2 linked regions of the Arabidopsis thaliana genome follow. The protein of the gene in region 2 interacts with the protein of the main gene of each other region in a pairwise test. Each region holds a gene or a part of one and is shown on either strand. Other genes may lie near its edges.

Evidence for each region.
Region 1: the proteins of AT3G21330 (region 2) and ATO interact in binary tests that used the Arabidopsis thaliana proteins (3 or more experiments, as listed by UniProt).

What each region holds. Positions count from the first base shown.
Region 1 is NC_003076.8:1,861,825-1,875,993, forward strand, and holds ATO (splicing factor-like protein), read right to left. Parts: upstream 4,610-14,169; 5' UTR 4,475-4,609; coding exon 4,301-4,474; intron 3,872-4,300; coding exon 3,758-3,871; intron 3,289-3,757; coding exon 3,184-3,288; intron 3,075-3,183; coding exon 2,932-3,074; intron 2,829-2,931; coding exon 2,732-2,828; intron 2,306-2,731; coding exon 2,156-2,305; intron 2,077-2,155; coding exon 2,005-2,076; intron 1,722-2,004; coding exon 1,563-1,721; intron 1,466-1,562; coding exon 1,259-1,465; intron 1,183-1,258; coding exon 1,036-1,182; intron 946-1,035; coding exon 799-945; 3' UTR 501-798; downstream 1-500. Other genes in the region: SUC9 (sucrose-proton symporter 9), read left to right, coding at 7,967-9,208, 9,306-9,369, 9,726-9,895; AT5G06180 (fission ELM1-like protein (DUF1022)), read left to right, coding at 11,373-11,549, 11,628-11,739, 11,818-11,887, 11,969-12,065, 12,239-12,388, 12,481-12,607, 12,699-12,811, 12,885-12,948 and 3 more; AT5G06190 (uncharacterized protein), read right to left, coding at 14,031-14,067. UniProt on the Arabidopsis thaliana protein: Splicing factor homolog to SF3a60 that may be involved in pre-spliceosome formation. Is necessary for gametic cell fate determination.
Region 2 is NC_003074.8:7,505,603-7,515,581, reverse strand, and holds AT3G21330 (basic helix-loop-helix (bHLH) DNA-binding superfamily protein), read right to left. Parts: upstream 8,343-9,979; 5' UTR 8,012-8,342; intron 7,879-8,011; 5' UTR 7,863-7,878; coding exon 6,741-7,862; 3' UTR 6,396-6,740; downstream 1-6,395. Other genes in the region: AT3G21340 (Leucine-rich repeat protein kinase family protein), read left to right, coding at 1-377, 687-1,165, 1,249-1,393, 1,484-1,555, 1,659-1,730, 1,826-1,897, 2,003-2,187, 2,286-2,536 and 4 more.

The sequences.
Region 1 (14,169 bases), on a different chromosome or scaffold from region 2:
CTAGTCATCGAATGAGGCCGTTGGACTGTAAATAAAAAAGGTAAAGCCCATCCCAACTTTTATTTCTTAATTAAAATTTTGGAATATGATTAAGAAAGGAATATTTCATTATTCTTTCCAAAATAGCAAAATGAGATTGTATGTTTAGGTTTTTTGAAAACAAATAAAATTTGAAAGTCTTCGTATATGGACATATATCTGACCAAAATCAAATATCTGTGTATTTTTCAAAAAAAAAAAATATCGTAAATAAATATAATAAAAAAAAATAAAGGTAAACTATGTGATAGCTTACTTTAAAAAATTTGACAGTCGTATGAGGTATTGAGGTTGTATCTGTTTATTTTGATAATTTTTATAAAGTTTGACTCAAATTTTAAGTTTTATCAAAAAAGGAACCAATGATTTGTTAGGAATTGGATAATTAAGGAAATTAAAACATTCCAATTTTGTAAGAATATCAAAGATCAAAAAATTAGTTCAAAATTTGTGAGTACACTATCATCTGAAAACTTTAGTGATTGATTCTTACATGTAGTATCCTATATTAACTCATATCTGTTTCTTGTTATTGAAGTAAAGTCCTCAACTATTCCTTACTAGCATTGTCCATACAAAAACAAATTTTATATCCTCGATTGTGATAGTCAATTCAAAAACATAAACTAAATACTGTTTTAATGAGACGAAACCTCACAAAAAGATGACGAATGGTTTGATTTTACAAAGGCGAAAGGTAGAATATGGTTTAAAGGGATATAGTAAGGAGAGAAGATTTCATCAAGAGGATGTGATCAATCAGATGAGACCTTGGCGTTGAAGATCAGAGTAAGTCTTCTTGTTGTAAATGTTACCTTCACGATCTTCATATTCTTCTTCAAGTTCTGGCCTCCATTTGTTCACTCCTTGCCTCTCCTGTATCCTCTTCCACAATTCTTTGGCTTCCTGAAACAAACCAAACAACAACAAGATCAAATTACCAAACTATTTACTACTTTAAGCTGTACAAAGTCTTTGATCATATTATATTATTACCTCAATCGAAGTGATTTCGTTGAAGTTCTTTGTGTTTGGGATTCCTAGGCAACGCATTCCGTGTTGGTGTCGCCATTCTTTAAAATGTCTCTCAAAAGCCCTTCTTCCCCAATAGCTATAGTTCCCACATATCTCGCATTTAAACTCCTGCGTAATAACAAGAAATTTAATGTGAATCTATGTTCCTTTGATACAACAATGGTCTCATAAATAAACTACATACCTGGCCAAGGCCATGAAGTTTGTAGAGCCAGTATGGTATAGGCTTCCCATCCCAACCTATTGGTAGCTTCAGCGGATTGTAAATCAAACCGTCCTCGTCATCACTTTCTAATTCGGTATTAGCTTCCTCCCCTTCACGTTCTCCCTCCATTTCTTCATATGTCAACGACTGTTTCTTTACAATGTTTTGTTTTGTCCTTTCGATGGTCTATAAAAGGTGACAACAAGAAAAGTTAACAGAAAAAGTACAACTAGATATCTGGGAGGGGGAAAAAAATGTCACTATGAGCTTTCAATCAACTAACCTCATCAAGTAAATTGCAGAGTTTCTTCACTTTGGCCTCTGTTAGTGCAATCTCTTTAGCATTTTCAGACTCATGTGTTGATTTGGCATCTCCGTTTTGTTTTCCGTTGTGTGGAGGTCTGGCAAAATGTTTCTTATCCAGCTTTTCCAAAGGCGTATGCTGTACAAAAATTGAATTAATTAAGGGAATTAGATAACCTCAAGGTAATAAGAAAAGCTTCAAATAGAATTCAATCCCTACAAAACATGAACTATGACAACAAAAGCCTTAGTTTCATATTAGAAGAAGAGCTGAGCTGAACTACCAAACTAGGTTTCATAACAGCTAAATGTTCCTTCCAAACCCAGTAAGAACAACAAGAACGCGGCTACTAATTGATAAAAGTACCCTCTCATAAGACGAAACTTAAAGAAATAGGAGATTATATAGCAAGTGTAAAAACCTTTGTCAGGAAAAGTCTCTCGGCACGCTGCTGCGGAGTACCACCAACCTTCAGTCCTAATGCCCCCAATGCCTGAATGGCATACAAAGAACATATGATTAGGGGAATATGCTTCAAAAAGGATATTAACATGAAGTAGTATGGTCATTACCTCTTTTAGCTTTTCAGGTCCTACATCTACCAGTTCCTCGACTGTACTGTAGTAATCAAGATCTATGACAGTATGCTGAGATGGAATAAGTTCATTATCCAGGCCTTCTACTATTCCATCTGCATATTGCTCTTCAAAATCAGAACAAACCTGTAAAAGAACCAAACATATTAATCGCAACAGATCAAACAATAGGCACAGCATTGGCCAAACTAGAACTACCAGAATGTCAAACTATAACATGGTTCAAAACCTTCCGAGGATATACAATCTCTGCACTTAGAGCAAACTATGCACCAATGAATATTGAATACAACCATCTAGTTATGGCCATTTATTTTCCAAAATTATGTATTATCTCCAGGGGGATGAAAGACTCACAAAGCAACCAGTTGTTAGAACTAAGGAAATCAAATCCAAAGTTCTACACTTAATACTTGGGAAACTAGTAGAAACTTCTTAAGCACGAATAAATATACCAGTTATGTACTAATGCATAGTTCGAAACGCCCATAAAATTTCATAAGGCAACAAGGTAAACGCAATAAAATGATAAAGAAAGGGAGGAGCTTAAACCTTAGAAAGTATCCGGTCAAGATCTTGCAACGGCTCGGTTCGCTGGAAGAAGTAGACCAGGTACTCAAGTAGAGCTTCCATATACTTCATGTATTGCCTAAAATGAAAAATAGCAATACAAAAAGGAAAGCCATTCAGCTGCAGCTAGAAAAATAATTGGAGGCTTTCTAAGTAAAAGAAAATTCCAATGAAGTGTTTACCTCGATAACTTCAGTTTACGCGGTATTTTCTCTGGTTGAGAAAAAACATCAAGGTAAGCAGAATATTCAACCCTTTCCCCAAATTTAGAGTTGATGTACTGGTTATACATATCATGCAAGTCCAAGTACCGACCATTGCCTTCCTGCGTAACAGACAAGAAGATTTAAGTATTGACAATAAAAAAGGGGCTTACAAACTGTTAAAAAATGCGTCAACAAATAGCAACAATAAAAAGTCAAGCAGAAACCTACCTCTCCACTGAACGCAATAATTGGTTCCTCCTTCAGGCGTGCTTCGTAGTCTTCATTAGCATCAACAAGACGTCCAGAAGGATGCCTTTTATGATATTCACGTATCTGTAAGTTTATAAAAGAAGTTAAATAGTTGCAGCTCTGATGCTTTCATCAGTGGTACAAGAAAATCAAATAATTCAGACAATAAAAAAAAAACGAATTAGCAATTTGAATCTTATTCAGGGTGTCCTCATGAAAATTTCACCGCCTTAATACTCTTATGCAAAGCAAGCCTTATACAGCTAACCAAATTGTTGATGGAACAGAACTAATACACTTTCACTGAGATTTTGTACATAATTCTTGATTCTCCATCACAGTGGTTCAAGGCAATCAATAAAACTATTTTTTTTTAAAAGATCAACAGCTAAATAACAATGTCTAGATTAACTAATAGTCCGGTAAAGTTAGCTGCTCAATCTCTAATATACAACCCACAGAAACTAAAGTAAAGCCAAGTCTTGGTATAGAGAACCATAGGCAAGTTTTAGGGAAAAAAGACCAAGGAAGGTGCAAAGGATAAAGAACAAACCTCTTTCAAACGATCGTAAAATTCACTAAACACATTTGTCCCTGTCGCAGTCTGGCCACCAAGCGCTGCAATCTCATCATCCCACGCCCCATCCTTATCTTCATAGGTTTCAACCTTACAACAAACAAGAATCAAGGTTAGCATTAATCCAAGTTTGAGTTAATTATCAACAACAAAAATTAACTCAAATTTGTGAAATAACACTGAAGCATGCTTAGCTCAAAACTTAGAATCCCTACATACACACTTAAGACCCCAACTATAACCTATATTCAACACCAATCTCTGAAGTTTCTTCTCAATTTAACACCCAAGCCAGAGTGATTCAAAGCTAACTTAAACCCCACAATGATAACCTAAAAAGCTAAAGCAATTAACAGAAAAAGAGGCAACACTCAACACGAACCTGTTATTTAAAAAAAAATCAGCAACCCAAGTTTCTCTGCTCTGATCTAACGTATTCAAAAGAGAAGAGACATAAAAACATATGCGGGAAATAGAAAAGAAGATTAAAAATTGACGAGAAGAAGAGAGAAAGCGTACAAGTTTCTCAGTGGTGAGCATAATAGACTCAATCATGTGACGAACACGATGTCCCTGGACCAATCTGTCCTTGCTGGACGGTGGCTCCTTCTGTAGATCTTCCACAACCAATCGCTCCAACCTTTCAACCTCTTCGTGATTGGAGCGAGTTTGCTCGAGGAGAGTCGACGACATTTTCTCTGTCTTCGAAGCTTTGAAATCTCCTTCTTCGCCGGAGTCTAAACCCTAAATTCCAGTCACTTTTCTTTTCCTCAATCCGAAATCTCGCCAGTAAAATTTTTAACGCCAATCCGAGAGAAAAAGATAATCGGGTGGTTTTTGTTGTGGTTTGGGTCGTTTAAGCCGAACTATGTTTTGGGCCTTTTTAGACGGTTTGTGTTTTAGGCCTTTTTTTGACTGTTAGTGTTTTGGGCCTTTTTAGACTCTTTTTTTTCTTTTATATTTTATTATTATTTTACTTATTATAAAAAAATCTATAATATGGTAAAATACCATTTGGTAATTATTTTCTTTTAAGATCTATTCCATTTGGTAATTTATATATTTTTTATCTGATTGCAATCCTCTTTTAATGGGAATACTCAAACATTATGTGTTTGTTTGATATTGTACTATACTTCAATGGGTTCATTTGCAAAGATGTTAACGGAGAGAAGGTTGTACAGAAAAAAAATGGGCAGTTTACAACCATCCACTATGAATGGCTTTGATATTGGTAGCAAACTAACACAAAATCAAGTCATCATTGTCAAAGTTAAAGAGTTAACAAGCCATTTATTCACTCTTTTCAAATTGAATTCATGATATCTCACATGATATAAGATTTGCAAGCTATCTCCTAATAGTATTGAGGTTTGTTGAGATGACATCTTTAATAGATCAATGGAAAGAGCTATATTTGGTTGTTTTCCTCAGGAAAGAGCTATATAGGATGATCATATATTCATATTGAACCAACGATGGGCATTTTGGGGTAAGTATTGCCACCTGACAACAAAATAATAGCCAATCCCATAGACTAATCTTATGACTTCTGATATTGATTTATGTTTGTAAAACCAAAGGAAGATCTCCGAGTGGACATACAAAATTGAAATGTCGTTAACAATTCATATTTGGTATTATTTTTTTTATCTATAAACAATTTTCCATTATTAGTCACTTCCATGTCCAAGCTCAAGAATTCTGTTTCAGGTGTTGTCTTTGAAAGATAGTCCATGCCAACATCGTTTACATATCAGTATATCACTTACTTTACGGCAAACTAAGGCAAACCATATTTCGATTAGTTCATGAGTCGCTAATTGTAACTTAAGGATATCAAGGTTGGAAGTAATTCACTTTGAAACATCACCATTTCGTATGAGTTGATCTTCTTAATAAAAAGATAATAAATACAGAGAAGCAAATGAGAGTTCATCGTAAACACAGCAAACCAAATCAAGAAAACAAAGCAAATATGGTTATTCATTTCAAATGGTGGAATCAGAATATCAATAAGCAAAAACTGGTACATGGTTTGATTCACGTTTGAGTTATATGTTCCTCATTTTCCACTATTCCATCAAACCAAAACAAACAATAAAAACTCAAACAAAACTTTTGAAAAGCGGCGAAGTCAGAGATGTTAAATATGCCTCAAACAGTTTTAAGCTCATAATGAGGAAATTACCCCTCATTCGCACATCTAATTGGTTCATCATTCTCGCCGTTTCATTGCAAAACCAATAAAAACAATGTATCCTACCCGATTATATAGAACGAGATACTAAATGAACGAAATTAAAATCTGAAAATCCTCAAACGCAAAGATCTCTAGCAGATAAAAGAGATAAACACTTATATCTGAAGAGTCAGCGAGAGAGGACCTTAATTCCAGATCTAATGCCGATATAAAAAAACTCGACCTATAATAAATCAGGAAGGTAAAAACTGGGTTAGTTCTTAGGAGAACCCTAATCAAAAACCCTTAATAAATTTCGATTTAGCGCAGCAATGACTCGACACGCTTCCATTAAGCATTTGTGGAAGGCGATCTTAAGGGCTGCGCAACGATTTAAAAAAAAAACGATAAATACGAATAACACGATTTAGAACATAAGCCCTAATATCTAAGAATTGGGGGTTATAATCGAAGATGCATTGTATATATAGTGAAGACTTGTTTTACCCTAGTCGAAGAAGCTTATCCTCGTTTATTGACTATTGGGCTTTAAGCCCATGTTATTTTAAGCCTTATAGGCAAAACAAGACAGAAAACAAAAAGACCAGAATCGCCTTATTCATCAAGTTTTTTTCTTCTTACTTAAACCGAACCGAACCGAACCGAATTGGATTGAGCCATGCCGACACGGAGTTCTGCTCTATAACTTTAATTCGGCACGCAGTCTAAATACAGAGACACTATATGACAAACTCCTCCATCGCCGGTGGTCTGCACAGGGGAGGGGAAACAGCGATTCGAAAATGTCAGGTCGTGAAAGTTACCGTCTTCAGCACCGAGATCCATCTCAGACTTCATATTTTGATGTATTACCAACCTTGTTCATTAATCATAATTGGACATTGTTTCCTTCTATGATGTCGTTTTACATTTCACTCATTGTACTCTTTTCTTTGTATCTTGTTGCTAAAACAGACAACTTCTTAGCAAAATCTATCCTGAAAGAAGTTATTGTCCGTCAAGGTCTGATGTAACTCTCAAGCGATATGTACTGAATTCATGAAGTAATGGAATGTGGGAGTGTACTTTTCACTGAGGTACTCGAGAACTATCATAGATGGCTATACTTGCCATTAGAGTAGTGGCTTCTCAGCTTCTCTTGTTTTCATTCAGGTTTCTGACTCATATAAACCCGATTTCCCGCAACTTGATGCTCAGACAGAGCGTTAGTCTTTTGGAGAGCTTGCAATCATGCTGGAAAGAAGATGTTCTCGTTTTCTCTGCTGCTGGCAAATTTCTTCGCTTGACATTGCAGCTTCGTTCGAGGTTTGTGAAATTTGACTTTAATATTATCATCAATATTGATAGACATATATCTAGTGAAGATAACGTGAAAACTTGCTTGTTTTACCTTAATCGAAGAAGCTTTTTCACGTTTATGGACTTTAGGCCCATATCTTACGACATAATCACTTTGGAATTTTGGATACTTAACCATTTTATGTTAGGCTCGTAACTGACGACATAATCAATTTGGATACTTAACGTACCCAAATTGGGTTTTGAGATATCATTTGTTTCACCTTCTTTTTCTTGTGGAGGAAGTCAAAATAATATGTAACAGTAATGCGGTTTGATGCAAACAGAAATTTAAAAAAGGAAAACGAACAAAACAAATTTGACGAGAAATTGTAAACAAAAACATATTACAGAAACAAGAAATCTGTCACGATCTCAGAATATGTAAAGATAAGATAATAAACTGATTTCAGTTAGTCTTGTCATTATTACCAAATTCCTATAAGGATATTTGCGTTATATCCTTTAGTATAAATGATTTATTTTCTTAACTAATGAAACACAGAATCAAAACGTTTATAGAAACATAAATCTCATTCATCTTCCACACCTCGTCTTTAAGAGACGAGTCCGTTTCTTTTCATCTCCTCTATCACGATTCACCATCACCAAAACACAACCTCTTAAGATAACGTGAAGAAACTATGAGTGACATCCAAGCAAAAGAAGATGCGGCGCCTGTTGATAGACAGTCTTCTTCGTCGGTTGTGGTTCCTGATGAGCCGTCACCTCTAAGAAAGATGATATCAGTGGCTTCTATCGCAGCCGGTATACAGTTTGGTTGGGCTCTTCAGCTTTCTCTCCTAACCCCATACGTTCAGCTTCTCGGAGTCCCACACAAATGGTCATCTTTCATATGGCTATGTGGTCCTATCTCCGGTCTGCTCGTCCAGCCAACCGTCGGTTACTTCAGCGACCGATGCAAGTCAAGATTCGGTCGTCGTCGACCTTTCATCGCCACTGGTGCCTTGCTTGTTGCCCTTGCTGTTATACTAATTGGATTTGCGGCTGACTTCGGCCACACCATGGGAGATAAACTCGACGAAGCTGTCAAGATAAGAGCCGTTGGTTTCTTCGTTGTCGGTTTCTGGATCCTTGACGTGGCTAACAACACTCTTCAAGGACCTTGCCGTGCTTTTCTTGGTGATTTAGCAGCCGGAGATGCTAAGAAAACTCGAACTGCCAACGCGATTTTCTCTTTCTTCATGGCCGTTGGAAACGTTTTGGGATACGCTGCGGGATCGTACACTAACCTCCACAAGATTTTCCCTTTCACAGTGACTAAAGCATGCGACATCTATTGTGCAAATCTCAAGAGCTGTTTCATTATTTCCATCACTCTCCTCATAGTCCTCACAATCATAGCTCTTTGGTACGTGGAAGACAAGCAATGGTCGCCTAATGCAGATTCCGACAATGAGAAAACTCCCTTCTTTGGCGAGATCTTTGGAGCTTTCAAGGTGATGAAACGTCCAATGTGGATGCTTCTAGCCGTCACGGCCTTGAACTGGATCGCATGGTTTCCTTTTCTTTTATACGATACCGATTGGATGGGTCGTGAAGTGTATGGTGGAGACTCAGCAGGAGATGACAAAATGAAGAAACTATACAACCACGGAATCCAAGTTGGTTCGTTGGGGTTGATGCTTAACTCTATCGTTCTTGGAGTCATGTCCCTTGTTATTGGAGTGATTAGTAAGAAAATTGGAGCTAAAAGGCTTTGGGGAGCTGTGAACATAATCCTCGCGGTGTGTTTGGCAATGACAGTTTTGGTTACTAAAAAGGCTGAGGAGCACCGGAAGATCGCTGGTCGGATGGCCCTTCCTACCAATGCCATCAGAGATGGAGCATTGAGTCTCTTTGCTATTCTTGGAATTCCTCTTGCTGTAAGTCCACCATGTCTTTTACCAATTTTTGTTACTATTATCCATGAATTATTATTTTGTTTAACAATATTAATCCATTTTTTGCTATATTTTATAGATTACATTTAGTATTCCATTTGCATTAGCTTCCATTATTTCAAGCAGTTCCGGTGCCGGTCAAGGTATTTAATTTTAACCTCTCCTTTTGTTTCTAATTTGAACCTACATTCTCATAGTAATGCTAATTAAAATGTGTGAACACAAAAAACGGTAATGGAGAGATCAGTTTCCAATTATAAGAAAAACGATCGAGTATATATTTTCACATAGGGTGATGTATGTTATGTACTAATTTATTGGTTAATTGATATTTTTATACAATCTGTTTACATCTTCAATTATTAGTTGGTTTTCATTCACCATATAAAATTTGTCATAAATGTATCAATAAGATACATAATCGTTCTGTTTAAGATTATTATTAAAGCGTTTATCAGATTAATAAGGATAGTGATAACATTTTTTGTCATTTTTTCAGGACTCTCTCTAGGAGTTTTAAACATGGCAATAGTGATACCACAAATGATTGTATCGTTTGGAGTTGGTCCAATTGATGCGTTATTTGGAGGTGGAAACTTACCTGGATTTGTGGTTGGAGCTATAGCAGCTCTAATCAGCAGTGTTGTGGCACTTACCGTTTTACCTTAATTTTTTTTTTTTTTTTATTGTTATGTGCTTCTTTTTTATTGTTATGTATCCACATGTTTAATATTAATGTAGCATGTGGCATATTTATTTACATTATTTAATTAAAGTTTTAATTTTAAAAAGTTCTTCTTGTTTTTGTTTAACTTCTATATCTATGTCAACATCAATCTGCGTAAATTAAAGTATTTTAAACTTCTAGGTAAATAACAAAAAAAAAAATTAATATTATGCATAGGAATTGTAAATCTAACATTTTTACCTTTATATGACAATTCATTCATGATACATTTTATTTTGTAGAAACAATGAAATATTCAAAAAAACATAATACACTTTAAAAAAGTATAAAATAAAATAAAATGAAATCAAAGACCAAAAAAATAAATTTAGTCTAAACAAAGACGACGGGGCAGGTGGGAAGACTCGAGTAGACACATGGATGAGTGTGGTAGCAAAAAGCTTACCGGCCGCGGTTTAGCGAAGAAAGAAATGAAGGCCTACACTAACTTTAGAAGGAGAGGGGGATGAGTGTGTGTTCAATTTTAAGAATTTAATTTTTGTATTTTAGATTCTATTAATTCTAGTATTATTTAAATTCTTGATTAACAAATTTTATTAAATGCTAGTGTTATTCAATATTAGGATTAATAAAGAAAAAATCCCACTCAAGATTGTGAATAAAAAATTCCAGGAATTCATGCAAAGATTTGGTTAGAATTAATTCAATTCCTTAAAATCTACTTTTGATCCTCTTAATTCTTTAAAATTTCTTAACTGAATACTACAATTACAATTGAGAAGTCGTAAGTTTCAATTGGTACGAAATGTACTCAAAACTTATCAATTCGAAATGAACATCATCATGTAGCAAAATTGAAGCAATATATATGTGGATCTACTGATACTAAGCAAAAAATCAAGTATTCTCTTTCTCGATGAACTAATTTATCAGTCGTAGCCTAGCGAAGAAAGATTTCACTAACATTTTGAAAAAATAAAATTGAGAGAGAATTGCAACAGAAAATTATGGTTAATGACTGAAAATATAAAGAACTTATATTCCAGTAGCTCTAGAATTTGACAAAATTGCAACGGAAAATACTCAAACTTTTAATAGCCAAAAAAAATGAAATAGAGTTAGAAAATCAACAAACCAATAACACAAATTTTTGAAAGAATTACAAAATTATCAACACAAATAATACAATAATTTAATTTAGTAAAAATATAGAAATCCACAAGAGTTAGAATCTTAAATTTTAAAACTCTTTAGAAATCAACTTGCTAATAATCGTAAAAAAATTAGAACGCTTGAAATAGCTGAAGAAGGTTTAATTCGTTCCGATTCCCGGTTCAAATTGATTTTCGATTTATTCTGATTTCAACTTCGGTTTGGTCTAGCTGGTCAGTCGTCATCACTCTCGTCAGGAATCCCTCTCGTCACTGAACTTTCTTTTCCTTTCAAGTTTCACCTCTAATGCGACGAACACAGCCACGGGAACTGGCCGTCACTGGTTTATCGGAGAATCTCCAAGGATGTGTTTTCCGCACGGTGAAACGAGCAGTTCTGATCGGAAACGGCTGCGCCGGCGCGGAGAATCAATGCATCGGTCTCCTTCGATCCTTAGGCCTCTTCGATCGCCACCTCTATTATGTAATCTCCGTCTAAAACACTATTCCTCTTCTGGCTTCTTCATTTTCAATGTTTCTGAGTTTGTTTTTTCCTGTTCAGAGAGTAGCTAAACCAAGAGGTGGAATCCTTCAATGGCTTCCTATCTCTCTCTACAAACGAATTCATCGTTTTATCAGCACTATCTGTGCCGGATTATCCATTAACGCTACTGGTACAACCTTCAACTTTTATTCACAGTTTGAAAAATGAGATTTTTGGCAGTAATTTGTTTCCCTGGAAATGGCTGTAGGAATCACGAATGTGTTTGAAGTAGATGATGCGAAGCAGATTGCTGCTATGGCTCGTAAAACGTTTGAAAAGTATTGTTCAAATTTTCCTCTGCTTGATTTTGAGATCTCTTTACATAGAATTTGAGTTACTTGTCGTCTGCCTTATCACAGGAATGGCCCGTTGTTAGTCGTGGCGTCTGGTAGTGATACTATTTCCGTCGCAAGCTCAATAAGACGACTGGCTATGGAAAATGTTTTTGTTGTTCAGGTTAAGTCTTTTCCCTTGAAAAAAACAACAAATTCTATAGCTTTTTTTGTTTTATATGAAGGTTTTAGCTGATTTTTCCATGTGACTGATATCAGCAACTGCCAAATCTTGGCCTCATACTCTTTGTTTTCTCCTTGTTATAACTTGATTCTTCTTGTTTACTGTTTTTCCAGGTGCAACATCCAAGGTCGCATCTTGAGAGATTTGATCTAGTGATCACACCTCAACACGATTATTTTTCTTTAACACCTGAAGGGAAGAGGCAAATTCCTTTCTTTCTCAGACCATGGGTAACTCCACGTGAACATCCAGGTAGAAATGTGGTATGTGTCTTTTGCAATGTTCATTAAAATGGATTTGATGGCAAGGCATTGTCATTCTGTTGCTAGTAACAAGCTTGAATTCTGAAATCCAGTTTCTCACTACTGGAGCTCTTCATTACGCCGACGCTTCTACTCTAAGAAATGCTACATCGGAATGGAAAAACGAGTTTGCTTCGCTGCCAAAGCCTTTGGTTGTAGTTAATATTGGAGGACCTACAAGTAAACACATTGTGCCTCTTTGTATTTTATATACTCTATCGATCTGTATTTGTAACTGCGGTTACGTTTTTTTTTTGTTAATTTGTTATAGGGAACTGTTTGTATGGTGTTGATCTTGCTAAACAGTTGTGTGGTATGCTTCAGAGTATCCTCTGGAGCTGTGGAAGCCTAAGAATATCTTTCTCAAGAAGAACACCAAAGAAGGTTTGTAAAAGTCTCTTTAGAATGTCACGATCATGGGGAGCGGATGGTCATCATATACTCGATCTTTCTACAGGTTGTAGAAGTCATAACTGGAGAATTGAGCTCTAACTCTAAGGTCTACATTTGGGATGGAAAAGGTAAACGGCTTTTTACTCTCAACTTGTCTGTGGCAAAGTTTGATGTTTTCTCTTCATCCATTTCTCAGACCCTAATCCGCATTTGGGACATCTAGCTTTAGCCAATACTTTTATCATAACTGCTGACTCTATAAGTATGTTGAGCGAGGCATGTAGTACCGGGTATGTTTAAGAAAACGACAATCTTTTCCTTTTCACACTCTTAAAATGATATCAAAATCTCATTCTCTACACAGGAAACCCGTTTATGTTGTGGGTGCTGAACGGTGTACATGGAAATTTTCTGACTTCCAGAAGACTCTCCATGGTAGAGGAGCTGTTCGACCTTTGACCGGCAAAGAAGATGTAATTCTGATAACTCTATTCAAGTCTTTTGTTTTTGTTTACATGATAGCTATACTCCGAGACACCCTTCTCTTTTTTGTTTATGTTCCGATAAATCCTGACACTAGCTTCTACATGGATTTAATATTTCAAGATGTGTGAGAAGTGGAGTTACTCTCCTCTTAACGATAATGTAGAAGCTGCGAGGCGTGTGATTCAAGATCTGGCCAAGCGTGGCTGGGAAATCGAGGCATGACCGTTCTTTCCCTCCACAAGTTTTCCAGAGTACTACTCTCTTTTCCCTATATAGTCTACAGTTATTATTTTCGTACTGGGAATTATCCTCCATAGAAGTTAAATGCTCTAGTCGAACTCAGGGTCATATACTTAGCTCATCGTTTGAACTATTAGTCTATTAACGATTGGTTTTTGTTAGTTCTTTGGTTTTTTCCATTTGGTTTGTAGTCTCATGTATCAAGCTCATCATCTGTAAAGGAACGAATAAAAGCTGCGTGCTCTGACCTAGATAAAATAAGAAAGAGTCTTCCTTTGATGCAGTTAGGATTGATATTCTAGGTACTGACACTTGAGTTTGCTAGACTGACCATAGCATAGACCAATCTCAAGCACTTGTTACGAAGTGTTGGCATGAGTCTCAAAGAGTGCTTACATTATGAGAAACAAAGAATTGCAGAATGCGTTTGGATTGATTAAACATGTGTGAAAGACTAAAAAAACATCATATGGTTCACGTTCACTCAGGGAGGTGGTGACATTGACTCTCCGGAGTACACTCTTGAGTAACAAAAGCAGTATCTTAATCCAAGAAAAGACACAAAGGCACAAAGGTATGACACGCTTCTGGATTGAATTTTGTATGTTTATTGTACTTTTGGT
Region 2 (9,979 bases):
CTTAGATACTTCCCGGACGGATTCCGAAACTGCTATACCTTGAATGTCACGCAAGACACAAACTATCTGATCAAAGCTGTATTTGTGTATGGTAACTACGATGGTCTTAACAATCCCCCGAGTTTCGATCTTTACCTTGGTCCGAATCTATGGGTAACGGTTGATATGAATGGACGGACCAATGGTACTATCCAGGAGATTATCCACAAGACCATATCTAAGTCTCTCCAGGTCTGTCTTGTTAAGACAGGAACAAGCTCACCTATGATTAATACGTTAGAGCTACGACCACTTAAAAACAATACTTACAATACTCAGAGTGGCTCTCTGAAGTATTTCTTCCGATATTATTTCAGCGGTTCAGGCCAAAACATACGGTATGAATCACGCCCTTTCACTTAATCATGAACAAAATTTGGTTTCTGGTTCTGTTTGATCCGTTTAGGATAAACTTTTTAACGAAGATTATTTGTTTTAAACCTTTAATAAATTTAGTGTATATATTGAAGTTTAAAGATTATAATTACTTATTAGGTTTTTGGTTGCACAAAACTCGGATTGGGTTCATTTGGTATAGACATTTTTCTAGCATCTTGGTTTATTAATATGGATTTTGATTTGTTTCAGTAAGTTTGTTTTTAAGTAAAATGTTAGTCTTTAATACATGACAAAAATATTTTTGATAGGTACCCTGATGATGTCAATGATCGTAAATGGTATCCATTCTTTGATGCAAAAGAGTGGACAGAGTTAACAACCAATCTGAATATAAACAGTTCTAATGGTTATGCACCACCAGAAGTTGTGATGGCGTCAGCCTCAACGCCTATAAGTACTTTTGGAACATGGAACTTCTCATGGTTATTGCCATCTTCCACAACCCAATTTTATGTGTACATGCATTTTGCCGAGATTCAAACTCTACGGTCCCTCGATACCCGAGAATTCAAAGTGACGTTGAATGGAAAACTTGCTTATGAACGCTACAGCCCTAAAACGTTAGCCACCGAAACCATTTTCTATTCGACACCACAACAATGTGAAGATGGGACATGCCTCTTGGAGTTGACGAAAACACCTAAGTCTACTCTTCCTCCTCTCATGAACGCTCTTGAGGTTTTCACCGTGATCGATTTTCCACAGATGGAAACAAATCCAGATGATGGTAAGTCTATATGTTTCAATCAATTTCCTCTATAAATATAATTTCATGGGTTGTTTTTTGATGCAACAATAACTTTATTCTAGTTGCTGCTATCAAGAGTATCCAAAGCACTTATGGATTAAGTAAAATCAGCTGGCAAGGAGATCCATGCGTTCCTAAACAGTTTTTGTGGGAGGGTTTAAACTGCAATAATCTAGATAACTCCACGCCGCCTATTGTCACTTCCTTGTAAGATCAATCTTAAATTATTGTATTAGTTATGTCACATGATTTTATCATCTGTAAATGAAATGTGTGCATGCATAAATATGTCTTTAGAAACTTATCGTCAAGTCATTTAACGGGGATCATCGCGCAAGGCATTCAGAATCTGACACACCTACAAGAACTGTAAGTATTTCGTATTTCAAAACTGAGCATAATGAAAACTATTTGTTCACCTTAATTGTATCTTGTTTATAACATATTTTTGTACTTACAAATGCTTATGTAGAGACTTGTCAAATAACAATTTGACGGGAGGAATACCCGAATTTCTTGCTGACATAAAATCACTCTTAGTAATGTGAGTCGTTTTAAACAAGACAATTTTTTATAATCTATTAGCCTCTTCGCACTACAAGATTGCCTATGTTTCTAACATTGTGTCTATCTTAACAGAAATTTAAGTGGGAACAATTTTAATGGCTCTATTCCTCAAATCCTTTTACAGAAGAAAGGACTAAAGCTAATGTAAGCTTTTCTCATATAATATTTTCATGACTATATAAAATTTGTGCTCAAGTCTCCTAAATGACTGGTAAATTTCTTTTTTTCCTCAACATTGGTAACTCATAGTCTTGAAGGAAACGCCAATCTGATTTGTCCGGATGGATTATGTGTAAACAAAGCTGGCAATGGTGGTGCCAAGAAAATGAATGTTGTAATACCGATTGTTGCATCAGTTGCGTTTGTGGTTGTTCTTGGATCTGCATTGGCGTTCTTTTTTATTTTCAAAAAGAAAAAGACATCAAACAGTCAAGGTATACACAAAAAGAACCTTTAAATTGCCTTGAATACTGCAATACATATGTTCACTATGTATAAAAAGTCTCATTATACTGTTGCATTGTAACATTAGATTTAGGTCCATCTTCATATACTCAAGTATCAGAAGTTAGAACAATCAGATCTTCAGAGTCGGCAATAATGACTAAGAACAGAAGATTTACATATTCGGAGGTTGTAACAATGACAAATAACTTTGAAAGAGTTCTTGGTAAAGGAGGATTTGGAATGGTTTATCATGGAACTGTAAATAATACTGAACAAGTAGCCGTTAAAATGCTTTCACACTCATCTTCTCAAGGATATAAAGAATTCAAAGCAGAGGTAAGTTTTAGCAAGGTTATTAAGAAACGTTTGTAGAAACACTATCGTTTTATTAGAGTAACATGTCAAATTTTGATGTATTGCTCTTCCACTCCTCTAGGTGGAACTTCTTCTCAGAGTTCACCACAAAAATTTGGTTGGCCTCGTTGGATATTGTGATGAAGGAGAAAACTTGGCTCTTATCTACGAGTACATGGCTAACGGAGACTTGAGAGAACATATGTCAGGTAAGTATTTATAGTTGCTACAAATACATATTTGTTGTGGTGTTTTCACATATTTATATGTTGATTCAAATGTAGGAAAGCGAGGTGGATCTATTCTAAATTGGGAAACTAGACTAAAAATAGTTGTCGAGTCTGCCCAAGGTTTGATATGAGTTTTAATATAATTTTTGCTTGTATCCTCTATTCATTTGCTTAACCCTTGATGAAAATGAAATTTGTTGCATAGGTTTGGAATACTTGCATAATGGATGCAAACCACCAATGGTTCATAGGGATGTTAAAACCACAAATATATTGTTGAATGAACACCTCCATGCTAAGCTAGCTGATTTTGGGCTTTCGAGATCTTTTCCAATTGAAGGAGAAACTCATGTGTCAACAGTTGTTGCTGGAACTCCTGGATACCTTGATCCAGAGTAAGTTTCATAATTGTTGGGCAATGATTTTCTTTTAAATTTTATTTTAAGGGTAATTGCTAGTTTTCATCTATCATGAGTATCATCACTTGATAGGATATCATATATATTTTTTATTTTTAATAGGATAAATATTGATTTTGCAGATATTACCGAACAAATTGGTTGAACGAGAAAAGTGATGTTTATAGCTTTGGAATTGTACTATTAGAGATCATCACAAACCAACTTGTGATCAATCAAAGTCGTGAAAAACCACATATAGCAGAATGGGTGGGGTTAATGCTTACAAAAGGAGACATTCAAAACATTATGGATCCAAAACTTTATGGTGATTATGACTCTGGTTCTGTCTGGAGAGCAGTTGAACTAGCAATGTCATGTCTAAATCCTTCTTCAGCTAGAAGACCAACAATGTCTCAAGTTGTTATCGAATTAAACGAATGTTTGTCATATGAAAACGCAAGAGGAGGAACGAGTCAAAACATGAACTCAGAGAGTTCAATAGAAGTCAGCATGAACTTTGATATTGGAGCTACCCCTGATGCTCGTTAGACTGCAAGAGTCATTTTATCTTTGTTTTCTTGAGTGGATTTTTGTTATTTTCAAAGGAAAATTTTAAAAGTTTTGTAATGAATTTATGTCATTAATGAATGTGATTTATTGGAATCAAGATTAGCAGCATAGACTCGATCTACGGTTAAAAAAAGAGGATAAAGTCCAATCATAACTCTCTTTAATTTATTTTGCAGAATGAAAACGTAGTAGAAATGGATGTAATCTTAGTGGAATAAACAAAGCAAATGATGAGACATGTTTATACGTTTCTTGTGATCAAAGTTTCGAAGCTCTAGATATATAGCAATAGGCCCGGGATGACTCAAATATGATCGAGGGGAAGAAGCGCGCACCTGCCAATTGCTCGCTACGACCATCTTCTATCTCAGTTCACGTCATTGTTTGATATAAAAGTGACTTGTTCTGTACGTTAAATCATATTTGACTCATCCTGGGCCTATTGCTCTGTATGGTTTTTCTAACTGACTCAGTTATTTATTTGTAATATGATAGTTCCAAAATAAGACATTACAAATGATTTATACACGTACATTTTATACAACAACTTCCATTTTTAGTTTATTTTAACTATATATCATATTTGTCCACCAAAATTTACGATGTAGTCAAAGTTGATATCTAGTAGCATTCTAATTTAGTGCATAATAAATTTAACGTAAAGATTATCAGTGTATTGTTGTATGTGGAATAATTAAAGAGAAAGAAAAAATATATTTTTTTTAAAGTAAAAAAAAAAGTTGAAATGGATTTCATTTTCTGAAGGAAGAACAAGTTGATGAATAATAAAGTCAAATGAGGATGATAATAGAGACTAGAGAGGTATACCATATCATTTGATGATTGTGGACAACTGGATGTTGTTTTTTCCAATATAAGTGAAGAAGTTGCCAAGTTGATGAAATCAAAAATATCCAGCTTTCGTCACCAAAATGTATTATCCTCTGATTTGAGAAGATACTTTTTCTTGATTATATGTGTTTAATAAATGGACATGTGTGTGCTAATAAGGTTGTTGGTTTGATTTGCGGACCATATTAGAACTTTGGAGGATTTCTCTTATGATTAGTAGGACCAAAAACGTCGGATTTATTGTGATATAAAGAGTGATTTAGGTTATGTCAAAACTTTCTAAAAATAGGTTGCTTCGAAGGGACATCTTTGTCTAAAATGTTACATGGAAACAAACAAAAGGCCATAACCGTTCAATTAAAAAAGTCAACATGAATGATCAATCTCTCTTATCTCCCCAGCTTGCAACACCCATCGAATCCTGACTTTTTCTTTTGATTATTATATACTAAACTTTTACATACTACATAATTGCTTTTTAGAGTTTTCTGTTTGTAATTTGGAGTCAACTTGAATATATGATTTTATGATATTAAATAACGGAATTATATTTTATCTACTTAATCATTTTGACTTCAAATGTTGTTAGTCGACATTGTTACCTTTCTTTTCATAAGAAACTACCAAACGTCCAGACCTAGTCGGTTGCATCTTCGATTGCTTCATTGGGTTGATAACTAATTTAATTTTAAGAACACAAAAAATGACTACTATGGTATTATATTACAAGATGGATTTTAATTCTTTCCAATAGCTGGTTGCAATAGGCCTTATGAGACTCTTCCAAATGGAAACTTGGTTTAGTTTAATTAAACCGTTTTCTTCTCTTCTATGGAGTTCACGTTCTACAAAGATTTTCATAGACAATCAAATAATAAAACAGAAATATAGGCATGCTCCAAGAAAAACCATTCCTGCCCTATATACTTACATGCGGAAAACAAAATTAAAATTGTTATATGTTTGTGTGTTCTTTTGGCGACGCAATAGGCACAAACATTTTAAAATACGGAATTAAACACATTACAAAAATATAGTTCCTTGTATAGAGTACCAATGTTCACATTTTCATATTCAAATAACATGTTTTATGTTTTGAACATTCATTTAATTGGGTTTGGTGAAATACGCGGATAATTAACAAGCCAGCTCAAGAGCATGTTACTTTCTTAATGTAAACCAAGCTTAGAACAAAATAGCATGTTATTTTGAAAATAGCAATTAAGTAAGTGTTATTGCGAATAAATAAAAAGTTGATAGTCAATGTACCCAAGTCAAAAAAACACATCCATCAAAAGAACTTCATAAAATACTATTAAACGAAAGAGAATGTGATTAAGGAGATTTAGGGACGAAATAAGACAAAAACCAAAAGACAAAAAAGAAGAATAAAAAGATGGAGAGTGAGATAGAGAAGCATGTGGTGAGCATTTTAGGGTGTACGAGTCAGGTGAAGTTATATTCTCAAGGTGCACGCCTTCAACATTCTTAACTCTTACTAAACTCCATCCAAACTATGTTTTGTATTTGAGCCAGACAAAAAAACACTTATGTGAAAATAAAATTATAAGACAATAATAAGTTCTTCCACTAAAATCGTTTTTTTATATGGATAAGTAACACAAATTAAATAACCTTGCATTATAGATATACGAAATTTATACATATTTTACAGAGACAGACAGAGTTTATTGAGTACCAAAAAAAGAGGATGAATATTAATTTTATATTTTAGTACTCCAAAAGAGTTCTTCAAGTAAAGCTAAACTTTTTTAAGTAGAGAGAGATGGAGGCACTTTCTAAACACTTTTGTTGATAATCATCGCTTCATAATTGCAATTATCTTACGCTATCTTTACTCTAATAAAGTAATAAAAGGTTGAAAATATTGCAGAGACTGTAATTAACCTCTTGCGGCTCTGTTTTTCACAATATTTCAACCCTCGAATTCCACAGATTCTATATAAAATACAAACTTTATATAAAAAGAAATGCAAAACAAAGACTGGAAAGTGTAAACAACACTGCCCGACACCACCCTTGTCACAGAAGTTGCCTTTCTTGAGAACTGCTAAAACAATCAAGACGCCATGATTCTGTTGATGATGATGAAACTCAAAAGTTTATAATCTGTCAACACTCTGGATGATGGATTTGATTAGGATTTTGCAATGGAAGAAAAGATGGGTGGAATAATGGAAACGATGTAGGAGCAGAAGAGAAAGAGAGATTGGTTTGGTCAAGCTTGGGTCTCAAGTTTTCTAAAGCTTTTACTTGTGCTCTAAGGAACTTGAGATAATTAGCAGCTTCATCAAGCATTGATGCAGTATCCATCTTCGTCCCACCTGGAACCAATGTTTGTAAAACCCTAATCTTCTCACTTATCCTCTCCCTTCTCTGTCTCGCTGCAACCGTTTGAGGATCCGTCGATATCTTGACGTTCTTCCTCTTAGGCTTCTCCACAATCTCTAACCCGAAATTCACCGGTCTAAATGCAGCCGCTCTGTATATCATCTCCTTCATTTGTGCAATCGCCTCAGCATCGGGCTCGACATTGTCAGACAAACAAGTTGAATGTTGGAAACTAATGTTCGAAGAACCGCCTCGTTCTTTCTCTGTTCTTGGTTTCTTTGATTTCGATTGATTCTCATCGTATATAAGCTTGAAACCTCCTTTCTCCGAATCATCTTGAGGATGAACAAGACTAAAGTGACTTCCTGTCTCGTCTCCTCTGTTTCTCTTCAAAGACTTAGGTTTTGTTGTTGTTGTTGTAGTCTCAGTAGTTCCTCCATCTCCTCCTCTGTTTCTCTTCAAAGGCTTAGGCTTTATCGTTGTTGTCGTCTCAGTAGTGATCTCTCTGTTCTCAGACTCTGCAGATGAGACTCCACCAAAGCTCCAAAGAGTCTGACAATCTGAGAAAAGCACAGATATTCCTTCATCGTCCTCCGTCGAGGTGTTGTTGCTATTCGACGTCGCAGATAACAAACAATCGAGTGATGATGGATCTATCGAGCTAGCTCTGTTGCCAACATGTTGCTGCTGTTGAATCTCACCTAAGACTCCAAGATCAGACATGAAACAGCTGCTAAGATTCGGATTAATGAGTTGGTGGTGATAAGAAGAAGAAGAACAGAGTTCTCGAGCCATTAGCTCATTTCCTCCCCAAATCAAATCTGATCCTTGATGCTCCATGATTTTGCTCTCTCGTGTCATTCCATACATAGCTTGAGCGTACACAGATTCCAATCCTTCCATCGGATCAAACACAATCCTAAAAACACCCAAAACAAAGACAAATGTGAGAGGCATACTTAGAAACAGAGCATATTTGTAAACAGACATGAAACCTAAATATTTCTTGTTACATGCAGGGAAAAATGATAAAAGCTGATCTTTAAACCAACCTCGTTGTAATAACGGCAGGACATGAAAAAGTGAAACCGGAAGAAGAGAACAAACAGATGAGTTCACAGGAAACTCTGAGAAACGTTTCTTCTGTCTTAAAGAGATGACACCCAAAAAGGGAAAGAAAGAGAAAACAGAGGAAAGAAACAGAAAGAAGAAATGCTCAAAAAGGAAAGAAAGTAAAACAGTCTGTAAATGAGGTTTATTTCTGTGCTGTAGACTTAGAAAGCTCTGTTTCTGTTCTGTTCTATAATGAGCTCTCTGCTAGAGTTATAGATAGTTTCTGTAAGAAAAGACTTGAAAGCCCTATACACCCCTCCTACTATTCATACTCAGATTTGTTATTATGCACATATTTATATATAGAATAAATATTAAATATATTTGTATATTTATTATATATATATAATAGTATTATTTTTAAAAAGGTCCCAACTTTCGATGAGATCAATTGTTCCTCTGTATCAAGCACTAGTTCTGTACTTCTGTAAATTGGTATGGATGGTTAACTTTAAGAATTAGGATTAGTGTAACTTTAAGAATTAAATCCCTATTTTGATATACTTTAAAACATATATATGAGCGCCGTCAAAGGAAAAAAACTTTTAACTAGTATACCGGTAAACTAATTAACTACTCAAACGATTAATTTTTATATTTTACTTTTGAGTTAGGTAATTTTTTTACCAAATTTTATGATGATCAAATCATTAATGGATGCGATTTAGATGATTTAACTATTATTTCCAGTGACATGCATATGCAAACTCGAATATGGAACGTTATCGACACGTTAAATTGAAGACGCCGGCGGCGACAACTTTACTTTCGTAGAAGATGAAACTATTGAAGTTGATCTCGATTAATTTTGCGATATATCTGATATCTCTAAGTGAGATTTTGTTGGATAATAGATACACGACTATCAAAATTGAATTTAAAAGTTGTCACCGAAACTAAACGTTAGAGTTTACAACACTCCCGAATCTAAACTTAAAACATCTCCTAAACCGGATTATTTAATAATTTCTTAATCCAAAATTATTTAATTTTTCATGGTCAAAAATAATGTCACACGCGCAAAGAGAAAAGTGAGATCACTGATTCATTAACCTAAAGCTAACCGAATGATTTGTATTAAAATATAGAAAATAATCTAGACGATTGAATTATATATTTATTTAAATGAGGTTGGTGTGCATAATAGTTTCTGCAATCGAAGAGCATCTTTTTTTGAAACCCTAGAAAATAGATATAATACTTGATAAAAATCATAGACTATATGATTATGCACTTGATGAATACTGAAAAGGGATATGTAATTAAAAATCTACGAGTGCTTGAGCAGAGAAAAAGGACTGACAATCCTTTTAGCGTCGTGCGAACTGAAAACTTTAAGGGAGAGATCGAAAGAAAGTTTTAGGTTTTGGATCTTTTATTTTTTGGTGAATAACAGATTAATGTTGATTGTATATTTTATTTTAAAAATGATCAAGCTGTAAAAGTAATTCATGATTCTATTATCTATACCATTTTCTTATTCTTTTCTATGTGTTTGTTTAATTTACCTTTTCGCTATCATCATCAGTCAATAATGATCAATATCCTCATCTCGATCTATCTAGCAACACTTTCTTGTATAGTTTATCTTCATTTCTTTTGGCTAGAACGTGTTATATAAAAATACCAAACACTCTTTTTGTGGATTTATTTGATTATATATAATCATGATATCATATATAATCGATGTGGAACACTTTTTGGAGTAGTTTTCGAAAACTTTGTAATTTCCATATACCAGTAGAGAAGTACATTATTAGTCGCTTCTTATTTCCCAAGTCGTTCCTCCTTAGGCTTGAAATAACCAACATTCGAGAACCTAAACCAATAACGCCAATATAGTTTTATTGTATATTTGTATGAACTTATATCTTTACTATGTAAGAACAATTTGTAGTAGTATTTAT